Drosophila melanogaster: one gene and its partners. The gene in region 4 interacts genetically with the main gene of each other region. Each region holds a gene or a part of one and is shown on either strand. Other genes may lie near its edges.

Region 1 (4,592 bases), on a different chromosome or scaffold from region 4:
GTGAGACAGATAGCGTTGCCCATAGTTCGAATTCTTAATAGCAAAGGCAGAGAGGTAAAGTAAGCATACGTTAAAAACTAAATGGAATTGCAGAATTTCTCATGGTCGGATCTAAAAGCGCCAAATCGGTTGTGATCAAATCGGTAATTTTTCGCTCTTGCTGTGGAGAATTTCAAATATTTGAATTTTGCTTTGGCCGCATAACTGTTCCTACTTCATCCGATGTGTTATAACACGATAGTAAATATGTGGATACAATACGTTAAATATGTATATATATAGGATATTTGTATAGGTCTTAAGAGTTAGCAATACGTAAAAACATTGAAGCGGGGATCAAACTGATTTGGTGGTCAGGGTCGGATGGGGTGGGGTTTTCATTGGGGAGACTGGGTTTTCAGGTGGGCTGGGCTGGGCTGGACTGGTGGTTGGTGGTATGGATGATCTGTGGTTGGCTTAAATACCTGTCGCACTGCATTGACGGCCGCTTCGCGATTTGTGAATGTGACAAATGCATAACCACGATTTGTGCCCGTCATCGGGTCCATCATGAGTCGTAGGTCCCAGATTATGCCGCAGTTCTCGAATAGCGGAATCAGTTCGTCCTCGTACATGTCCTTGGGTATCTTGCCGCAGAAAACCTCGCAACCGTTGCCTGGCACATTTCCCTCCCAATGCGGCGGCGGTCCGCCGTATTTACGCTGACCTGAGTACGGTATAAGTAATAGTATTAGATAAAAGTTTCTCCAGTACTTGAAAATGTTTCTCACCTGTCGTCACATCTAATGTGTAGCCGGTGCGCTCGAGGATTTTCTTGATCTTGTCCTCGTCGGGACCTTTGACAGTTGCGGGCGCGGCCACGCCCTGTTGGCTGGCTCGACTCTTCTGTCGGTACGTCTTCATCACGCCGCATAGGTAGGCGGACTTGTTTGACACGTGCTCCAGGTTCGATTCCAGGAACTGTCCCAACACATTCAAGGCACCATCGACGGGAAACTCCTTGAGCGCGTCCAGGGCGCGCTCGTCCAGCTCGGCGTGAGCCAACTTGCCGGTTTTGTAGATCTCATCCAGTTTGCCGGCGACCTAGGAGCATATGTTGCATGTGGCAAATGTTGGTAATAGTTGGCATGTGGTGTTGGGTTCTCAAAGCACTCACCTTCTTGTCCAGACCGTATTCCAGCAGCTTGGGATAATCCTCTGTACGCTCGCCATCGCCACGGTCATCGGCTTTCTGGTTAATGTCATCCAACAGTTCGCCATTACCTTCCGCCATTTCTGCAAGTGCAACGATAATAAAATGTTATAAATATATATTGAGTATTTATACATAAATATTAATATTCTTGAAACATACATTCAAGTGAGCACCCACAAATTGTGCGACCTATAAAATCACCTTGTAGAGTTCAACGAACGCAAAATAGCCACAAACGGCGAGCGCTTGGTAAAAAATGGGTCGCGAGAATGTGCGAAATACGAGAAATACGAAAAATTGGCAACTTACGCACCGTCGCACGCACTCGCGGAATGAGATAAACGGGGAGTGCGATAAAGCAGGGAGCATGGGAGAGAGAGGAGACAACAAAGCGAGCAACAAAGTTCATTGACTCCAAACAAATGCGAAACGCACAAATTTGCGATCCAGAAGAGCGCGCATCCGAGCACCGAAAAGTGCGTGAGAAAGGCAAGAGAAGGAGAAAGGCAAACGAGAAGAGAAAGAGGGAGCCGCATGAAAACGTATTGGCCAAAATGTAAACAAACGAAAAGAGGCGCGATTTGCGAATTGTGCGTGACGTGTTGCGTATACGCGATGTGTTCGGCCACGCTCACAAGAGCGTGACGTATTAGTTGCCCTGGTAACAGCTGATGAATCTAGTGGGTTCACTTTTTGCCGTGTTTGAAGCTACTGGACTTTAGACTTGGATTAGTATTAGTAGTTTTATTGACTAAAAGTAGTAGTATACGTGATTTGCTATGTTAAATCAGCCTAATACATTTATTTATGATCTGTTCCGTGGCTAAATTCAGTTGAGCTGCGGAAACAAGAGCTGTTCGCTTTCGTTGCAATTGCAGCCGCAGCTGCACACAGGCATTTATCATAAATGAATATTTATGGCACACTCATAATGAAAATGCAAATGTTCCACAGTTGTCAAGTGGCAAACGCTCACCTATACAGGCCGCAGCATAGAAAGCTACCTTAGCAGCCACACTATCAGCAAATGCTATTTTGATTCGCGTGTACACGTATATTCGTATGTATATTATATATATGTACGATGTGTATGTACATACATACATATAGAAAGTTGTGTGTGTTTGACGTTCAAACAAAAACGAAGCAAGCTGCAAAAATAAAAACGAGGGACCCCAACTAGCCGAGAGCGATAATTGCGTAACATGTGCAAAAAAAAAAAAACAAAAACAAAAAAAAACAGCAGCAATATCAGCTAGCTCTATCGTTCAAGAATGGGAGAGCCAAACCAGCGATAGAGCGCGACCCACAAAAATTATGGGCAAACCCGAACATTTCTAAAATCTTTTCTGTTTGTTGCTGCTCTCTCCACTGGCATTCTGCGAATTTCGCATTAATTCTCCGGCATTCGATTCGTTTTCGCTGACATTGAAATACTTTGCGATTGATATCGGGGGCAATTGGGTGTTTTGCAGCGGCGTGGAATACTCACTGCTGCAACTGGGAATTGGGCTGGGGGTCCTGAATGAAGACGGTGTTTTGAGGATCGTGCGGCTCAGAGCCTCGCCGCCCCCTTCATCCTTCTGCACTTTGGAGGCTTCCATCTGGGAAAGCATCGCGTAATGCAACAATTTAACAATTTTCAATTTCCTTAGGCGACTTGGAATTTCGATTGCAAATGTGAATGAATTTGTTTTCGCTTTTTCTTATTTTTGAAGTAAAAATCAATAGTTCCGAAACGATTCGAGAGACGAGAAAAATTTTCACAACTGAATAGAAACAAAAAACATTACGGAATAACTTTTGACAATCGCCCAGCAGGGCCAACTACGCATCGATATTTAGAAAGGGTTACCGAACCGAACCCACTTTGTTGAGGTGGCAATCCTGAAAATGGTGTGGTGCAAGTATTAAGACCACAAATTTATGACAACTGCAGTGGGGCCATCAGAATGCCATGTGCGCTATGACAACTATAACAATAAGCGGAACCAGTCAACCAGTAACAACAAAAACATATCCCATTATCTAGGCCCCTCCAACACATAAATACTATGTATTTATATGCATGTATGTATATCTAGATTGTTGGGCGCGAAAACGCAGCGAGCTGTAAGTGAAAAGTGTTGGCGACAACCGCAGGGAAGCCCACAAAAGGGCAAACACCGGGGGAGCGTCATGAAGTTGCGCTGGCGATGCGAGAAAGGCGGGAAAATCAGGAAAAGCGCTTTATCGGCGCACAGCGAGTAAATGAATAATAAACACATGGGCAATGGATATTGAGCCAGTCGAAAGGAGTAGACAACAATGCAGGAAATTCCATTAGGATTGCAGTGAAATATCGATAAAATGGTATTCCTTATACGCTGAGTTGCCATGCTAATGCTTCTATGGCATATGGAAGTGCATACTGAACAAAAAAAAAAACAGGATGACTGGCCACATACCACAGCCAATTTAAGTCTTTATTCTTGGGTCTCCCGAACTCAAAGCTATTCAGGTGACGGCTCCTGGCCTAAAACCGCTTTCAATTTGCAACACTTGCCGGACTGTGTGTGTGCTTTTTTTTTCCAGCCCGAGTCATCATTTTTTATGCATGTTTGTTATGGCAACAGGGTAGTCGCCGCTTGTTTGCCCCAGCGGTGGCAACTCTGTCCCATGCATATACTCGTACAGAAAAAATAGAAGCACGGCTAAAATGGGGGAAAAACAAAGAAACGTTTGCATGTTAAAGAACATTCCTTTTTGCATGCTCGTTTTGTTTGCCAGAGCCGCTTGGCAACTACCTCAATAAATTTGATGTTGATGCCGGCGATATGCGCAAACATACACAGCCAGCCATACATACACACATGCATATCCTGGCATATCCTGCCTTCTTGCACTTGTGTCGGTTAGTTACACCCTCGGTTGTATAAAAAAAAAAAAAAAAAAAACAGAAAAAGTCACCCTCTAGCTGCTAGCAGGGGTGATTCGCCCCGGATTCCACCTCTCCCCCGCCATTCCGGACTCGGATTCGGATTCGGCCTCCTTTGCCAAGAGATAATGCCTGGTGTAAGGTTAGTAAATCAGCGATATGACAAATCGCCGCAAACGCAGGCGGAGCACTTAATGCGGCGCTTTTTCAATGGGAGACAAAGGAGAATCAAAAATTGCTGATAAAGCCAAATAAATCGTTTTGCCACATTTGTTCGTCACTCGCGTCCGTCTGCCAGACAATACGTCGCCGCCGGCAGCAGTCTGGTCTAGAATTACAAGATCTCCCCAATGGCAAATTGGCAACTCCGCCCCTGTTTCTGTCAACCGAAGCCAGACTGACTGTAGACTGCAGAAACTATGAGTATCTTTAGGATGGTGGCGGCTGGCTATAGTCCAGGGGTTGCTCGCCGTGGCATTG
Region 2 (4,787 bases), on a different chromosome or scaffold from region 4:
AATCTTAAAAACGAACGAAAACCAAACATAAAAATAGGAATTTCGGGTAACAGTTTATTAGTTTACGTTTTAATATATATTTATGGGACACAGGAAATAACCTTTAACTTAAGGCTTTTAATAACACCTGTACATTAGTATAAGGAAGGAAAAAAACCCTTTTACCTATATTACTTAGGATTGCAAACATTCCCAATATAACTTTGTACTGTACATTGCCACTGCAACAATCTAAGTTTTTTAGACTAATATAAGGACAAACCTTTAACTTTAGAAATAAAAAAAGACATAACACCAAATAAATACAAAACTCTGTCTTACTCAAAACCCAACACCATATTCCATTCAATGGAAACACTTGCATGTCCTGTTGGGTGTAAAAATTGAGTAACACACGTCCAACAACAAAAAGCAACCCCACCCAAATGCAAAAAACAAAGGGAGAGCGTAGGAAACAGCAATGTCGACAGTGCCGCGAGAGCGAGCCAAATGACGCACCCCAGGACAAAATAAAATTTAAAAAGAGCACACCTCAATAATCATTAAAACAGAATTTAATTAATACTATGCAGCAATCATCAGAAAGAACATTACTAAGTATGCAAAACAAACAAAAGTAGTTATGAAGTTATAAACTAGGCTGCGCATTAAAAGTTAAAACTTTGAATCTAAATACTACTCATTTGTAATCGAATAAATGATTGATTTTAAAAAAAGTAAGCCCCAAAAGAAAGAGAGTTATAAGGAGAGTTTGGGAATGAATGAAGTCCACAGGCGCTGTAGCGTATCATGCACATGCGATGTTCAAACACAAAAGAGTATAACAACAAAGTTAATAATTTATCTTAGAAACTTGTGATTTCAAATGAAGTGTGTATAATAATAGATCTTGCAAATTTGCTCATGATTTTTAGCTTACCTGTAGAGGAGCTTGAGATGAAACAACCCCAAAGAAATGGGATTCCGGATCCAACGTGTACTCCTCAACTAGCTCCTTGGTGTCTTCAACCAGATGTTTCTCTGCAGTGGAAGAAAGGGGCGAAGGTGTGATGTCTACAATGCCAGCTTGCTGGGATTCCAGCTCCAATTTCGCCACAGGCGAGTCTGCTTCGGAGCTCAACTGGGGTGCACTGGTGTCTAGCAATAAACTCTGGTCGGCAAAAATATCAGAGCACTCAGCGGGAAGCTGCATTTGCTCCTGGCAGCCCTCTTGAGCCTTTTGAGAGGTATGTTCCAAATAAAATGAAGCCTGCATTGGATCCTGCTCAGTGTTATTGAATAATGTGTGCGATTCCTGATTGTTTGGGAAGTCGGACTGAAACTGGAGCTCCTCTGTAGAAGGCGACTTCGAGACATGTTCTTTCTCTTCCACATGAATTAGTTCCTTATCGTCACAAGTCTGAATTGGCAAAGGTTGCACGGAATTTAAGATATCTTCAATGGAGGAGTTGTGCTCGGCATAAATCGATTGTTTCATGATGTCGGCGTCGTTGGGCACCTGATCTAGTGGCAACTCCATATCGACACTTGTCTCTGGACCGTGATCCAGAACATCCCTTAAGGCTGCTTGGTCAGCGGTTCCTATACCGTTCAACAACTGCATCTCCAGGTGTCCTGCCCCAAAAGTGTCCGATTCCTGCTCCAACTCGTGGGGTCGCATATCCGCTTCAATGTCAAATTCCCGCTCGTCGGGCACGGCAATACCATCCATGTTGATTCGGGCGAATTCTTTCCGCGGACTTTCCGCCACCAAATCGTCAAGGGTCCCTCCCGGTAGAAATGGGCGGGGCTGAACACCAGGTAGTGGATCTTCAGCAGCAGGAAGGGGAGAGGATGATTGTGAGCCAACGCCAGGCACAAAGGCCACAGCATTGGGGTTTAGCTGCGAGTGGTTTTCTTCCAGGTTTTTAACAAAATAGGAGTTTTCCTTGTTGTCGAAGTCCACTAACTGCTCTTGACCAACCGTTTGGGCCACCATAACGACCTCCTCCTGATCTAAAGGCGAGGAGTTGTTCTCACTGAGACTGCTTGTTCCATAAGTAGTGGCCACGGAGCTGTGCTCATCCTCATCTTCCTGACGGGGATCCTCGTGAACACCTTGTGATTCTATCTGCTGCTGCTGTTGAAGCTGCTCCGGCAACTGGTTTGGCTCCTGGGCCTGCCTGGCAACTACCTCGTCCGTTGAAGTAGTGGTGTTAGAATTTGTCGAGAAGTCACCATCGTTCTTGATCACTTCCACGTCCTCTTCGTACAGATTGAAGACAGCGGCAGCTCCGTTTCCGTGAACTTGATTATCTGAGTCCCGTCCGGGCCCGAAGCCATTGCCGGTTTCCTTTGTCAGTGGAAGCTTTTCCTGTTGAAGCTTTTCACTCTGCCGCACCTCGTGTATGTACTTCCACTCCTCGTCTTCTTCCCCGTCGACTTCGTCCGACTTTGAGGGCGCAATGCCAGGAGCGCAGCCGTTCCCCCCAGTAGCGTCTGCCAGATGAGGATTATGCTCGCCGGCGCCTCCGCAAATTTGCAGACTTTCGGCCAGGCGGTTCTGCAAGTAGTTGTCCAACTGCGCGTTGTCCTCGTGGTGTTCCATCCTTTAGGATTTAATTGGTATAAATGATGCGCCAACAGAAACAGGTATTTTTGTAGAGAGATGATTCAGATTGCTCGTGATTCACGCGCCACTGCGTTTTTTTTCTCGATTCCACTTTTATTGGCGTTGCTGTTCTTGCAGATTTCTACACTCACACCAATACACACACTCTCCCAGCGAAAGAGAGACACAGTACAGGAACGGATAAGAGCACGATTTCGTTGCTTGTCCTTCCACTTCCTTCGCCTTTGCTTGCACTCCAAGTATATAATTACTTGTCGAAATAAACACAGCTTGCCGAGCCCGTTAGTCTTTTTATTTTTCTTTCAGAGATTTTAGTAAGTTATTCCCTTTTTTGTTCGCTCCGGTTGCTCTTACTTTTGAATTGCTTGCCGACCAATTTTTGCGCACACCCACCCTGACGAAAAAACGAAATATGAACGTACTTGGCTTGTCTTGAAATACCGACAGTGGATCGTTTGTTAAAATACTGAATGATATCTTTTAGTATATATAAGATATCGATAGCTCGATTAATACTAAATGACAGGTTTTTTGTCGAACGGTCTGTCCTCAGTATTTTCACGCAATCCGGGAACAAGATATCGGTTCGTCGATACTTCGATAAGTTGATTGGTATTATAGCTCTATTAATACTAACGTCCAGTAGATTTTGTCCAACGGTCTGTCCACAGTATATTTACTTATTATCAGCAGGAGGATATATTAAATCGCACAATAAGTCCCTTTCAGTTGACGTTATAATAAATACTCATTAAATAATCAACAAGCGGCTGTAAATTATATGGTTTTAACCATTTTTGGCTAAATATAAAATAAAAAACGGCTAGAAAGTTGAGTTCTTTAATTTTTTTAAGAATGATATTAATCGTAAGGCTTTAGGCTATACAAAATTTATTTTAGCTCTTCGGCTTGATATTATTTTATAAAAAGCTGTGTCGTGTTCTCGATACTAAGGTTATGCCCCACGGTCCCCTTTGCGGTGCTTGATATGTCGGCACAAGAGAAAATCGATTACCGTAGGACAGTCAGATTTCATAGAGCTAAGGCAAACGGAACATTGGCATATCAGTTCTAAAGCGTTTTTTTTTATTCTTTTATCGATTGGATTTGCTTGCTCCCTTTTATTGCCCGATTTCGCCTAAAAAATTTGCAATTAATTTTTGTCTCGTCTTACATACGGCTACGAGGATGTTTTATTTATTTTTGTCTCGTCTTACATACGGCTACGAGGATTTTTTATTTATTTTTAGACTTAGCATTTTATCAAATAATCTACGGCTACGAGGATGTTGTATTTATTTTTAGACTTAGCATTTTATCAAATAATCTGTAAGAGCATAATACACCCCCTTCCTCATTTTAACATGCTAGCTGCGAAAGGTTTTTATAACGTTACTCGTAGAGTAAGAGGGTATACTAGATTCGTTGAAAAGTATGTAACAGGCAGAAGGAAGCGTTTCCGAACATATAAAGTATATATATTCTTGATCAGGATCAATAGCCGAGTCGAACTGGCCATGTCCGACTGTCCGTCTTATTGTCCGCGTGAGAGTCTCGATCTCAGAAACTATTAAAGCTAGAAGGTTGAGATGAAGCATACAGATTCTAGAAACGAAGACACAGCGGAAGTTTGTTGACCCATGCTGCCACGCCCACTCTAAAGCCCACAAGCCGCACAAAACTGCCACGCCCAATCTTTTAAAAATTTGTTGATATCATTTTACATTTTTATTTGTCTTGGCAATGTCTATCGACGTGCAACCAATTTTTTGCCAAAAAAAATGTATAAAAATTTACACGACCAACAAAATTATGAAATAATATCCAACAATTTTTTTAAAAATGTGGTCGTGGTAGTTCTAGGTGGTTTTAGATCTTTAGAGTGGGCGTGTCAAAAAGTTTTTGGCGAATCGATAGAACTTTACAAGACTAATAAAATTATGAAAAAATATCCAAAAGTTGTTTAAAAGCTCTGCTCGTTGCAGTTTTGGGGGGTTTTGTGGGCGTTAGGGTGGTCTCTAGAATCTGTATGCTTCATCTCAACCTTCTAGCTTTAATGGTTCCTAAGGTCTCGACGTTCATACGAACAGACGGACTGGGCTAGATCGACTTGGATCTTGATCCTGATCAAGAATATATATACTTTATATAGTCGGAAACGTTTCCTTCTGTCTGT
Region 3 (8,022 bases), 5.2 Mb from region 4:
TGGTATTGTTGTGACTGCTGCTGAGTCTGCCAGATGCCCGTTTGTTGATGCTGCGGCGCCTGCTGTTGCTGATGGTGTTGACTGTACGTACTCCACTTGCCGCTAAGGGAGGCCTACAGGAACGATCGAGATCTTAGCCAGCTGTCATGCGTCGAGGATTTGGTCGCACACTTACCTTGCCTCCGCCAGGTGCTCCACCTTGTTGCTTGTACTGATCGTAGCCACCGCCTACAGCGGTGTTATTGCCATACTTGGGTAGCGATTGACCAGCTGACCGCTCATAGCCACCGCGACTATCTTCTTTGGTGTCGCGGTGGCCAGGCCGAAAATCCCGTTGTTGATGAGTACCACCTCCCGAGCGATAGCTACTCTGGCTGCTGCCCCGGTTCCGGTCGTTACTGCCCATTCGACTGCGGTCGTTGCCACGGTCTCGATCGCGATAGTCCCGCGAGCTGCCGTAGCCGCGGTCGTCATACCCACTTCTGCGGTTGTTCTGCATCCAGTTTTGCTGACCACCACCACCACCACCACCACCGCCGCCGCCGCCACCACCACCGCTGCCGCCTGCGTATCCACGGTTGCGATTGTCGTATCCACGACTGCCGCTTCCACCGCCACCATAGCCGCGATCATCGTACCCGCTTCTGCGGCTGTTCTGCACCCAATTTTGCTGGCCACCGCTACCGCTGTTGTAGTTGCGGCGATTGTCGTAGCCACGACTGCCGCCTCCACCACTATTGCTGGAGTAACCGCCACCGCCGCCTCCCCTGCGGGAGTCGCTCCAACGACTTTCGTGCCGCTGGCCGCCATAATCACGACGTCGGTCATCATTGTATCGATTCCGGTTCCGGTCATCACGACGATAGTTGTCGCGACTTCCTCGGGATCTCTTGTCACGCGACCTCTCCGCGTCAATGGCCTTTTTGCCCTTCTCGTTGTACTTCTTGACCTCGCTCTTGGCCTCGTCACCAGTCAGCTCCGTGTAGTTTATATCATCGAACCAGCCAAACTCCAGCGAGGGAAGTGTGAAGTTGGCTGGAAAAAGATTGCGTGTACATCATCAATAAGGCTGCACAATTGCTAAAATCGCTCATTATCATTACAGATTAGGAATTATTGTAGATGGAGTATAGAGGGAAAGAAGGGATCAACTTTGGCAACCGAACGTAAAAGGGCGCAAAAATTTCGATTTTCAAGAAATCCAGTTGTGAATAAAGTCCATCCTTTATACGTTCCAGTTGCCAAGTGGGGGTTGTTATAGAATAAATGTTAATGAATAATGGTAATAATAATAATCAAATTATGAGATATTTTGAAGGGCTTACAGTTACAATTACGTATAGATACATAAAGTGCAGCTGCTTACAAACTAAATACGTTACATAAGTTTTTATAATGTTTTTCATTTTAACAAGAATGCCTCCTTATTTAGATAGGTAGAATAATAAGTTATACGATCGTACATTATTCTGGATTTTTTTTTTCAATTCGTTGCTTTGGTGTGGTGGATAATATTTACCTCGTAAATTATTAATTGTTGATTCTTTAACTGTAAAAGCATTTCCCTTTTCCTCTTTTTCGGCGATGCGACGTTTCAATTCATCTTCGCTGGGTATGCAAACGACCGCAATTCGCTTGAAGTCGTTAAAACCCTTCATTTTACGTCGCTGGGCCGAGGCATACACATTGGTCTACAAGAATACAGTTGGTTGATCGGTTGGTTGGTTGGTGTTGTTTGGTTGAATTGGGTTCAGATTTTGTCTGCCAGTTGTTGTTTGGTTGGATTTGGTTTGGTTGTTGTTGGGACAGTCGTCGAACTTGAGAAACACGTTGATGATACGGCTCGGTTGGAGACCTCGGTCTACCGGGATCGAACCCAACTCGCATTGAGCTCGCTTGCTTTCAGCGCTTATAATCTAACACATACCTGTTGCACGGCGGGACACCCACTTCCCGCCCACACTCCGCCGGCAAGGGAGCGGGGCCTTACGGAAGCGGTGCGCGCACACCAACATAATACCTAGGGGGCGGCGACGGGTTAATGTTAACCCGGCCACATCTAACAACAGTTGACTTAATACTTTGCATAAGGATAACAGAATGTACTATGGGGGAAAAGTAGTCGCGGTTGGCTGTGCTGCTGGCTGTAGGATGAAGCATCGCATAGCTTTCTGTAGATACACATACATATATATGAGAATAGTTGGCATTTAGAGAGAGAGATAGAGTAGAGATAGTAGGTACTAATACGTATATGTGATTAGATTGTAGGCGAACGACTCGTCGATCGGATTTGTGTTTGTCTACTTACAGTGGCATCCATGCCGCTCGCTCCTCCTCCTCCTCCTTCTTCCATACTTTACTTCACTCCATTCCATTACACTCACTCATCTTTCTCCAATGCCATTTCCATATCCATATCCACTTCCATCCCCACTTTTCTTACAATTCCCTCTTAACTGCCCCGTCAACTGTTGCGCCTGCACGTAAAACTTAAGCTAATGGGAAGTCCACAGATACTTACTGCCTCAAACTTAAGCACTCTAATTATCGGATCGACTTACAATTAGGACATACCTGCACGTTGGTGCCCCTTCTAGGGGCACTTGGGCACTCTATTAAGTTAGAGCGATGAGCAAAAAAAAAATGCATACTCAAATGTACAATTAAAAAATATATAGCGCAACATTGCTGTGCCCCGCTGGTGGAACCCCTCAATCCCGAGGGGATCAGAGCCCCAGTGTGTTGGGTGGGCGCCAAAGTCATCATCAACGTATAATTCTCGCTTGTTTCGTTTTGTGTTTGGTTATCGTTCGTTCATAGTGTAATCTTGTGTGTTTGTGGGCTGGTGTTTTGTTTCGGGTGTATGTAGGTCATTTGTTAATGGTTTACCTGATCAAGTATGAAATTTCGACGCCGCTTCATGGCAATATCTTCCAGAGCCGCCAAGCTATTTAAGCATATCTCGTACACCTTGTCCCATCGACCTTTGTGCACAGTCTTGCGAGAGGCGCCATCGATCTGCAAATATATTGGTCAGTACTGAATATCTTCAGCGCCTAGCTATGTACATTTATTAACCAACTTACTGTCATCTTTGAAATGAATGCGTCGGGTCCAATCAACTCGTAACGCTTGTCAGCATTCTCGGCCACATGCTTATGGGCCCAATGGGTCTTTCCGGCTCCTGGCAAGCCAACCAGTAAAATGACTTCGCACTCCTTGCGAGATCCGACGCGTTGTGGACCGGAAACCAGCTTTTCGACAGGTACTAAGCCGATCAATACATAGCCTTCCAGCAGGGCAGCTGTATCCCTTGGCTCGGGCACGACATCCTCGTACTCATCTTCGGTCGTCTGCGACCTGTCCTTTTCCTTTTCGGATTCAGCCTTTTCCGAATCTCCATCGGTTTTGGGTCGCTTGTTCGGCGAGGGGCCATCCTCATCTTCTTCATCATTGTTTTCGGAGGGTTTCTTATCCTCAGATGCCTTTTCATCGTTTGCCTGTTCTGCAGCAGCATCACCATTTGACACAGCTGCAGTTTCTGACGACTTTTCGGTAGAAGTTTCAGCTAAAAGGAAAACCCAAAATATTAGCATTTTGTGGGATAACTGATTTTCAATCAATCATTACTCACCAGTTTCCGAAGCCTCGGTAGCTTCTGATTCGGGCTTAGCAGCTTCAGCAGGAGCCTCGACTTTAGTTTCGGCTTCTGTTTCCGTTTTTGGCGCCGCCTCATCCTCTTTGGCTTTTTCAGGATCTTCGGCTTCCTCTTCATCTTTCTCCGAAGAAGCCTTGCCATCTTCATCCTTTTTCTCCACCTCATCATCATCCGCCGTGGCTTCGTCCAAGACCTTCCACTTCTCGCCATCGTTGTCATCCTTATCGTCGTCCTTATCCTTGTCTTCGTCTTTACGTGGCTTGCGGCGCTTGCGCGTGGGCCTCTCGGCATTCACCAACAGCTGCTCGGTGTCAGAGAAATTCACTAAGTATTCGTAGCCCTTGGTAACGATGTGCGGAAACAGGGCTCCCTCCTCGCCCAGTATGCTCTTCTCAAACTCGAACGCAACTCCAAGATCCTCGCCGTTCAGAGTGTAGTTAATTGTGCACGGCTCACTTTCCAGATCTAAATAGCAGCCGATAACGTCATCCAGCTGGTAAGGCTTGCCGTAATCGGTAAACTCGCTCTGAGTAGCCTTACGCCCGGTCTCGCAATAGCCAAATGAATGCTCGGCCTCGCCTAGCAACAAGGAGCTCTTGGGCATTGAAAATCCCACGCGGAATCCTCGCACATGCGGCTCATCGCGGAAGTAGTGCGAGTTCTCCGGCACCGACTCCTCGGAAAGGCGCACCTCAAAGCACACTTTGCCTTCGCGCACTCCGTAGTTTGCGCGGGCTCCGGACCAAATAAGCGAGTAAATTTCCGATGTCAGGGGTTTGGCCGATGCAAACGTGGTTGGGTCGATGCGTAAATGCAAGTCAGAGTCCACTGGAATATAAAAACAAAGGGATATTAGTTACTGTGAATGATGGATCAAGCTTTGAACGTTAAGGAATGTGTGTATCGAATTCGTTGCAAACAGCAAGTCTACTTACGCCAGCTCAATCCGACTTTGTTCTCCTCGATGGTTGGCTCGTCCTCAGGAACTGTGCGTTCCTCGGCCGCTGCCTTTGACTCACGCTTGTCACCTACGCTGCCGCGATGTTTGGACGAGCGGGAGCCACTGCGCGATCGGGATTTGGACCGACTGTGTGATCGCTTGCGGCGTTCCGGGGGCTGATCCTCAGGCTTAGCTGCTGGCTCGGTCTCCTCCGCCGTTTTCGGGGCGGCCGAATCCTCCTCATCAACGTCCATTTTCTGGCTGTCGCCATTTGACTGATGCTCGGCCACAGTGCTCTCGGCTGGTTTCTCCTCTACAGGCTCCTCAGTTTGTGTAGGTTCCTGCTCCTCAGGGGCAGCATCATGATCCTCTTCCATGGGTTCATCAGCCACTTCATTCTGTGGTACGACGGCGGGTACTGCCTCTTCGATTGTCTCCTGCTTGTCGTCTGTCTCCGACTTTTCATCAAACTCTTCGGGCTCAGGCTGCGACTCCTCATTGACCGCTTGGTTGACGGTTGTGTCCTCTGTCACTGCTGCAGCTGGCTCAGCTTCCTCCGGCTCACTTTGTTCTGGTTCCGGCTCGGCTGCTGGCTGTTCACTTTCTGGTTCTGGCTGTGGCACTGTCTTATCCTCCGGCTGCTCCTCCTCTTCGAGAGTATCGAGCACTGGTTCTGCGGCCACGGGAGCAGCTTGCACCGGCGATGGAGAGCGGGACATAGAGCGCGTGCGACGCTGACGGCGGCTTGGTGTGACCGGCGCATTTTCTGGACGCGGGAAAAGTGAAATGTGATTACTTTATCATTATATAAGGAAAACTTACAACTAACTCACGCTCAGTCGCACACAAACAGAAACCGAAACACAAGCATGACTTGGACGCGGCAAAGCACACGCACACAGTGACACCCACACACATACACACTGGAACAATCGGGCGGTCAAATGACGCATACACACAAACTTACCACCGTCGCCGGCTCCTCCTTCCACATATGCCCTCAGGCGCTCGACGAGCACCGCTTTGACTCCTTTGGTGTCCAGGCCGCGCGACTGGAGCTCGTTGCGCAGGTCCACCACCTTCATCTTCTCCAGCTTCGCCACATCCATTCTTGCGCTTCAATTTGGATTGGCGGCAGAAACACACACGCTTATTCACTCAATGTGCACCGCTGAAAAGCTGGCGATGTGAAAAACTGAATTGGGGGAATTTCGGGCCAAATCACGCTGTCTGGCAAATGACACCCACACTGGAAATGTCACCGTAGTCAAGTCGCAATGGTTGCTAGCACCGTGCGCGCACAATTAAAACGCAATATTCGTTTTTACATTCGCATTTGTTGCGAATAAATAAATGGACCTAAATATTATACCGAACGCGTTGAAGTGAAGTTGGCTGCGATTGGGAAAACGAAAACGTAGAGCTACCGTGCTTGGGTTCGATACTTGTGCTTGGTGGCTATCGATAACAGGCTGAACATCACTAGCGATAGAAGGCGCTTGTGTGCATCAACCGTTTGCATGTGCGCTGCAAGAAAATATTTAATGATTGAATGATTTGTAGTAAATACTATATCAATAAAAATTAATAGGCAAAGTCAATGTTTATTTCAAAACATAATTAATAGTATTAAAACCTGCATAACAAAGTGTTTTTCGTAAATTGACTTTAGGTATAATGGCTGTTTGGCACAGGCATTAACAACGACTCCGTGGCGCAACGGTAGCGCGTCCGACTCCAGATCGGAAGGTTGCGTGTTCAAATCACGTCGGGGTCAAGCAATTGATGTTTTTTTTTCATTATTTTTAGTTTGCAAACTATATAAAATAAATACGAATTTAAGATTTCAAAAAAAAAAAACAGTATACAAAATTTGCATCGGCCGGGAATCGAACCCGGGCCGCCCGCGTGGCAGGCGAGCATTCTACCACTGAACCACCGATGCTTAAATACTAGATGTCTTACCTTCAATATAAGCTTGGATTGCAAATCCATTGGGTCATTTCTATAAATTGCTAAAATAGTTTAAGGTTGATTAATAAAATGTAATGCTGAAATAAAACTAACTTAATACGCAGCGTTGCTAATATACTTATTACGAAAAACTGCATGTTTTTTATATTATACCATTTTCCTAACTTGTTATAACATCCTAACTTCCTAACTTTTGTAACATCGATTGTGGCCATGCCCCTTCAGCAGAACAAGTGCTCATTAACACTCACTTATAATTAAATTTGAAATATATTTTATCGACATGCCATACTCATGTCGCTATAAAATCTATAAGTTAAAGATGCACAATCCAAAATTTCGCAATTGGAGCGTTTAAATTCAGGAATATGTCTTTTTGGTGGATGATACAAAGCCTTTTGATCCTGTGGACAGTGTCAGTGGTAAGAATAAATAAAATAATCAATAAAGAAATTTGTGGCAATAATATATTTATTTTTAATTTTTAGGGATCAAAAAAAAGCAACTATGAAGTCCGCTTTGAGTCGATAGATGCCGTAAAAGGAAGTACCGAAACCCTTTTTCTATACCAGCTACGATTGCTCGGTAGAAACCGCATGATAAATGGAACTCTTATTTTCTTAGAAGACTTGGACGAAACGTTCGACGTCCTTTTCGAATCCCACGCATTTAAAAATGGATATTGGGTCAAGGGAATCGTGAACGCCGCCGCCAGCAAACCCTGCGAATTTTTCAATCGCTACTACATTTCCTTTTTCCTAGTAAAATCGACCGAATCGAATTTACCCACTACCGGTGCTGAAATGTGTCCTTTTCGAAAGGGTACATATTTTGTGAAAAACGGCGTTGTTTCTACCGAAGATTGGCCACCCATTGTCTTTAAAGGTCTTAACAGATTCACCATTTCGTATCTAAAAAATGGCGAATGTGTTGGTGGAGTTCAGTTAACAATTAGTATAGCAGAAATCATCACATAGTCTTAAAAATTTATAATACCACGAAAAAATATATGGCATAAATGAAAACTCAATTATTTCTCTGTGTGTGTGTGTATGTATAGCCAAGCCATTTTTATATATTTTTCTTCTTACATTTTTGATTACAGTTTATAGTTACAGCTAAAATGATTGCATTCGAAATTGTTTCGTTTCGTTTACACGGAATATGCGCATATATATTTAGCTAAGAATCTCTTTTAAATAGTAATAGGTTCTTTAATGGGGTTCACATAAATATTTACATGCACATTTGCACATAGAATTGTAATAATTATTTATCGTTATATATCGCTTTTACGTTCCCAGTTCAGATCCATTTCTAAGGCTCGTCCCAAGCAACCGTCTCCAGCGTCGGAACTCAATCTTGTATCTAATTGAAGAGAGATTATGTATGTCGCATTCATCAATTGCTATTGCTAATCGGCCGATAATTACAGCAGATACAAATT
Region 4 (5,974 bases):
TCAAAACCCTGCATGTTGCTTGCCAAACTTTTTATGCCGTGCGCGGCTTATCTTGACAACTACTTCGCTTCGATAAACCATATTGATCAGCTTCACTTCTTTCCGCCCCACAGCTGCGCCCTGAAATCAGCCCGATAAGAACTTAGTGTTAAGCGCTACCTCAAAGTGTCACCATGATCGGACCCAGTTCGCAGATCAGCAAGATCCTGCTCACCCTGCTGTTCCTGCTGATCATCTTCTACGTTTTCATGGACGTGGAGCTCTACCTGCGCATCCACAACTATGCCATCGAGAGGAACTATCACACGAATGTCTCGCTGCCCGCCTCCGTCGTGGGTCCGTCCACCTCGGAGTCCGGGTCCGGCAGCATCGGTGGTAGCAGCAGCAGCAGCAGCAGCAGTAGCAGCAGCACCAGTACGAAACTACCCACCGCCGGCGACCGGCAGCCGTCCTACGAGGACCACACCTGGATATCCTGTGATATAAATCCGCTTTGCCATGTGACCGTGAAGGCCATTCTGTTGGACCACACCAACCACTACCTGTTCGCCCCGCTGGCCACCATGTTCGACAACGTGATCGGCTTCTCGCGCTCCACCTTCATCACGCCCAACATGATATCGTTTTTCCATGTGGGCGTGGCCTGTCTGGCGGGCAAACTGGTGGCCTCGGACAGCCTGGGCTATCGGCGGCTGGGCGTGCTGCTCTTCCAGATCCGCACCTTCCTGGACGACCTGGACGGGCATGTGGCGCGCGTGCGCAAGCACATACGCGGCGAGCGCTCGGAGATCGGCACCTCCGGCTACTATGTGGACGGCCTGTGCGACGGACTCGGCTGCATTGCGCTGCTGCTGGGCATATTCTTTTACCTGAAGAACAATCCACCGCGGAGGGGCTACTCGATCATACCCATGAGCGACTCCAAGCTGCCGGAGCCCACCATGATGATACCGAAGATGAAGGCCACCACGCGCAAGGTGGCCAAGAACGTGATCAGCTTCACGGGCCAGCTGCTGCTGAGCTCGACGGCGTGGAATCGCTACATTGCCGTCTACCAGAACATGCTGGAGCGCGAGGACGTGAGCGGCAACCAGTCGCATTGCCAGGATTACGTGTTCAAGTCGACCTGGTTCTTCTGCGTCGCCTGGATGTGGCGCATCGTCAACGTGCACGCCCTGCTGCACTGCGTCCTGCTGAGCATCTTCTGCGACAAGCTGTGGGACTTCCTGCGCGCGATCCGGTACAGCGGTTACATTATCCTGTTAGTTGCTATATGTTTAACTGAAATGCACATTCTGGAGGCCCAGAACTACATTTTCAACTCTACGGCGTGCAGTAATATTTCACTGTGATTTTACTAATATTACGAGAAAATACAATAATATTTGTGTAGTGCAAATCAGCGATGCCTTTTTTAATTGTGTATAAATAATAATGTATCATAATTGTTAGCCAATCATTAATATTTCGAAACCAACTAATGCATTTTGTCATTCAAGCGCGGTCTGCAAGAGCAATCGAAACTCCTTCAGCTGTAAATAATAAATGTTATTGATTAATAAAGTCTAGCTGTTTTTATCGTACGCATTTCCATGGCGAGCTAATTTCGTTTGAATTTATTTATAATGTTTTGTGTTTCGAAATTTCAAATGAACACGATGCGCAATGCTGCCAAGTTTTTTTTTGGTATAGCTGATGGGCAGCACTGCAAGGTTTGGTATTTTATTCGACAGTACCAAATGCCAATATAATTGCCATATTGTAATGTAATATATTGCTTAGATATTCATAGTGGCAATCAACGCTCATATAGTTTAATAAAGAGGCTATTAAAATTTATGTGACAATGCACTGTTTTAACTAAAAATAATACACTTTTAGTATATCTACCCGCCGGCTGGTATTTCTCACTAGCCCTGTTCGGCCACACTGCGCATACGTCAGGCGATACATACAAAGGAAAAGAAAATCAAAACGGAAAGCGAGAAGAAATGCTTCACTCGTCGTTTGAAAATTTGTTAAGCTGTCAATTGTAAATATTACCTGATTCCTATTTCGCACCGATTGAAAGTGGTTGTGCATCGAAGCGTGTGTTGTGTCAAGAACCGAGCGTGGAACGTACAGTGAATACCTGATTTTGCCTGGGTGTGAATCGAATTCGTGTGAGAGAGCGTGCGATCTGAGATCTGGGATCAGAAATCTATATCTACTTGCCATACGCAGTCAGAAATTACAGCAACCAACTAATCCCTGTCAATAGTGTAAGAATTGTTGTGTAACCAACCATCTTTTAGGACCGCCAAACTGCCTCCGTCTACACATTATGTCCTCCCCTCGACGATTGCGTTTGTGTGCGTGTGTGTGTGTGCCACACACTTGCACTCACACACAGACGACAGGATTGGATATTTTCAATTTATGTGGCTTTCATTCATTGATTTTCCAATTCCTGCCGCGATTCCACACTCACAAACGTCAGTTTACTCGTATTAAGTGGGTGAAATATCTGTTTTCTTGAGTAGTTCAAAACATATACATATGTATGCCATACATCGTAAACTTGGGATTGGGTATTCTTCTTTTGTTTATTAACTAAATGTACGTAGAATAGGCATTTAGCCGATGGTGGGACATAAGTAGCGTCTGATTCAGAGAATTTTTAACTAATAATAACGTAAAGAAACGCCTAAACATGAACACTAATAATATATGAATATGTTTGTAATACTTACTAAAATTATATCATCGAAATTACAAGAGATAGAAACATTGTTTATTTGTCGTTTTTAGTAGATTGACCTAGTGTAGGATCCTTTTTGTTTTGGCTTGGTCCCACGAGCAATGTGTGTATAGAGTGGTTCGGGGCAACCTTTTTGTGTTGAATATTGTACCTTGGGATGCATCTGAATAGAACGGATGAACTGAGTGAGTGCATTCATGAATGCAGCGATGCAGAATATGTGGGATGCTTCCGTTGACTGAATGACATGGTGGATCATTTCTAGAGCGAAGTGTGAGCCCCTGCGGCGATAGAGTTCTTTAATCCCCTCCTCGTTTCTAGCAGCCTTCTAGGAAATGGATTTCGTTCAAGTGTCGGAGGAGGAGGGCGACGAGCCCATCGAGCTGCCGGCTGAGGAGGATGGCACTCTGCTTCTGTCCACACTGCAAGCTCAGTTCCCTGGATCCTGCGGTCTGAAGTACCGCAACCTGGACACGAAGGCTGTGCGCGGAGTTCGCTCCAACGAGGGCAGACTGTTTCCGCCCAGCGTGGAGTCCGGCTGGGGCGAGTACGCTTACTTTTGCGTCTTTCCCAAGGGTAAATTCGAGTTGTATGACTCCCTGTTGAACCTTAAATAATTCTGTAATCCCCCCCTGCAGAGAACAAGCGCAAGAGCGACGATAACTTGGAGAACTCAACTGCCAAGACCAAACGCATCGAGACCCGTCTGCGCTGCACTGATCTCATCGTGCTCGGCTTGCCGTGGAAGACCACAGAGGAGAGCTTGCGTGAGTACTTCGAGACCTACGGCGAGGTGCTGATGGCCCAGATCAAGAAGGACACCAAGTCGGGCCAGTCCAAGGGCTTCGGTTTCGTGCGCTTCGGCTCTTACGATGCCCAGATGCGCGTGCTCACCAATCGCCATCTGATCGACGGTCGCTGGTGCGAGGTTAAGGTGCCCAACTCGAAGGTAAGTCCTCTTGTTAGCCCTGCAATTTCACGCCTACTAATCCTTCTATTCTCATAGGGCATGGGCCACCAGGTGCCTTGCAAGGTGTTCGTGGGCCGCTGCACCGAGGACATTAACTCGGACGACTTGCGCGAGTATTTCTCCAAGTTTGGCGAAGTCACTGATGTGTTCATTCCCCGGCCCTTCAGGGCCTTTAGCTTTGTAACCTTCCTTGATCCCGACGTGGCACAGTCCCTGTGCGGAGAGGATCACATTATCAAGGGTGAGTCACTGCCGCGTGGAGAAGAATCAGGGAATTAATGAGACACTTTCCACAGGCGTTTCGGTCCATGTGTCGAATGCTGCTCCAAAGGCCGAGCAGAACAGAAACCAACAGGTCCAGAGCTACAACTACAACTCTGCCAACAGCTTTGGCATGCACTCATACCACCCACAGGGTAACCACATGAATCCGGGCCGCAACGGACACCACCGAGGTAATAACCAACACAATGCTCACGGCGGTGAGAACGCAATTGTGCCCAATAATCACAACATTGGCACCGCCGGCTACGGCATGGGTGGCAACAATTACGGCGGCAACTCGGGCGGGGGCTACCACAACAATGGCGGCAATCACTCCAGTGGCGGGAACACGAACCGCCAGGACGGCGGCAGCCAGTACAACAGTCGCCAGTCGAATTTTCACGGAATGAACCAGCCGCATAACGGCAACGTGGGCGGCAGCAACGGCTGGATGAACCGTGGCCACCTGGACATGCCCAACCTGCAGGCCCTGGGCATCAACTCGCAGGGATCGAGCTCCTCCAACCAGGGCCAAAACATGAGCAACCAGTCAATGCTCAATCTCAACTCATTGCCCATCAATCCCGCACTGGTCGCTGCCGCCTTGAACCAGTGGAGCCTGGTCGGCAACCAGCTGCAGAACCAAAACCAGGACCAACAGGCAAGCCTTCACACCTCAATCATTGTTTCAAACAAAAAACTCTCTCACTTGCTCCGCAGGGCGGCAATTTTCTATCTTGGATGGCTCAGAACGGGGGCCACAACAATGCCAACAACTTTGGTGGACGGAAGGGGCCGAATAACCCGAACAACAATCCGGCCGCCAACGGAATAAAGACCGACAACTCGGAGCCACAGGTTAGAGTCAAAACTGAAACCATCCCCTAAGAAACCTGGATCCCAGCCAGAATCTATTCTACTCTATTCCAGAATGGGAACACCGGTTGGTCGAACCAGAGCAGCGGATCTCAAAACGCCGCGGAGAAGTCAAACTTTCTTTAAGGCGGTGCCTGTCACCCAATGATGTGGTTAATGTGGTTAACCAACACCTCTGTAGCTTACTTAAATTTACATATATGTATTCCACATACAAACCAGTTAAGAATTGTATTTAATATGTAATAGATATTTTGATAATTGTAAACAAGATGACACTGGATGGCTAATAACACAATTGATAAAACACACTTCAAAATAAATTCTGCGCCAAAGCTCAGTAAAAATTGTATCATTGTATCACTTAAGTAGAATTTGATTTGTATTTTGTTGTTTATTAAATATATTTTGGCTTACGCTAAGAAAGTTTAGTTATAAAGATTGTGCACTTATAATGCTGGATCTGCGGAGAATTTCCAATATAACAAAGTTTTCTTTAAGATATCTAAACGAATTTGGCGCAGCCTCATTTTAGAGGAGAATTCATTTAACATGTACATTCATTTCAAAAAATAAAGAATGCAAAAGCATATTAGTACAAAGTGAATCATTTCATTTGAATGGAATCTATGGGATTGTGAATTGAATATTTTAATATATTCCTGTAAAGGAAACTCTCCCGTCTTGGAAACTTATCTCTTATTCTTTGAAAATAACAAAGTATGTTTTATAATTCAGTTTGTAATGACACCTGGATCTTTTTTTTTTACAAATTTCCACTACACATTTGTTTGAGTATATGCAAGGAATACCCTTAATGAGCAAGCTTTGCGCCAGCGAAAATACAGCCCTGTGTTCCATTCCGCCATTTTTCTATTTTCACGACGGTGGCAATAACGGAACTTGCAATTGCCGCGCGCATTGCGGCGCACTTCACTTAATTTAGTGTCAATCTGTTTGAAGCTAGCAGAAATGAACCACATCATCCAGGACAAGTACATTCCGCAACAGCTGCTCTACTTCTTGGCGGGACGGCGCTGCTGCCAGCAGTTCCCGTGCACATTCCGCACCAGCGAGCACGAAGCATTCGCCAACAACGCCCGCTCCTTGGGGCTGCGATCGCA

What was found.
Region 1: of TBPH (region 4) and Syp, changing one suppresses a phenotype caused by changing the other (phenotypic suppression), as found in Drosophila melanogaster (one study listed by BioGRID).
Region 2: of TBPH (region 4) and Map205, changing one suppresses a phenotype caused by changing the other (phenotypic suppression), as found in Drosophila melanogaster (one study listed by BioGRID).
Region 3: of TBPH (region 4) and CG30122, changing one enhances a phenotype caused by changing the other (phenotypic enhancement), as found in Drosophila melanogaster (one study listed by BioGRID).

The regions. Positions count from the first base shown.
Region 1 is NT_033777.3:20,788,428-20,793,019, reverse strand, and holds the start of Syp (syncrip), read right to left. Parts: upstream 3,035-4,592; 5' UTR 2,812-3,034; coding exon 2,688-2,811; intron 1,276-2,687; coding exon 1,157-1,275; intron 1,084-1,156; coding exon 771-1,083; intron 707-770; coding exon 465-706; intron 1-464.
Region 2 is NT_033777.3:32,065,410-32,070,196, forward strand, and holds the start of Map205 (Microtubule-associated protein 205), read right to left. Parts: upstream 3,033-4,787; 5' UTR 2,588-3,032; coding exon 920-2,587; intron 1-919. UniProt on the Drosophila melanogaster protein: May play an important role in the regulation of microtubule assembly and interaction.
Region 3 is NT_033778.4:18,633,251-18,641,272, forward strand, and holds the start of CG30122 (uncharacterized protein), read right to left. Parts: upstream 6,021-8,022; 5' UTR 5,711-6,020; coding exon 5,569-5,710; intron 5,368-5,568; coding exon 4,597-5,367; intron 4,490-4,596; coding exon 3,638-4,489; intron 3,572-3,637; coding exon 3,090-3,571; intron 3,022-3,089; coding exon 2,893-3,021; intron 1,692-2,892; coding exon 1,520-1,691; intron 1,036-1,519; coding exon 176-1,035; intron 114-175; coding exon 1-113. Other genes in the region: CheA56a (chemosensory protein A 56a), read left to right, coding at 6,944-6,997, 7,064-7,552.
Region 4 is NT_033778.4:23,858,548-23,864,521, reverse strand, and holds TBPH (TAR DNA-binding protein-43 homolog), read left to right. Parts: upstream 1-1,928; 5' UTR 1,929-3,075; coding exon 3,076-3,316; intron 3,317-3,378; coding exon 3,379-3,689; intron 3,690-3,746; coding exon 3,747-3,951; intron 3,952-4,006; coding exon 4,007-4,635; intron 4,636-4,694; coding exon 4,695-4,832; intron 4,833-4,904; coding exon 4,905-4,976; 3' UTR 4,977-5,455; downstream 5,456-5,974. Other genes in the region: Cpes (ceramide phosphoethanolamine synthase), read left to right, coding at 174-1,352; bgcn (benign gonial cell neoplasm), read left to right, coding at 5,823-5,974.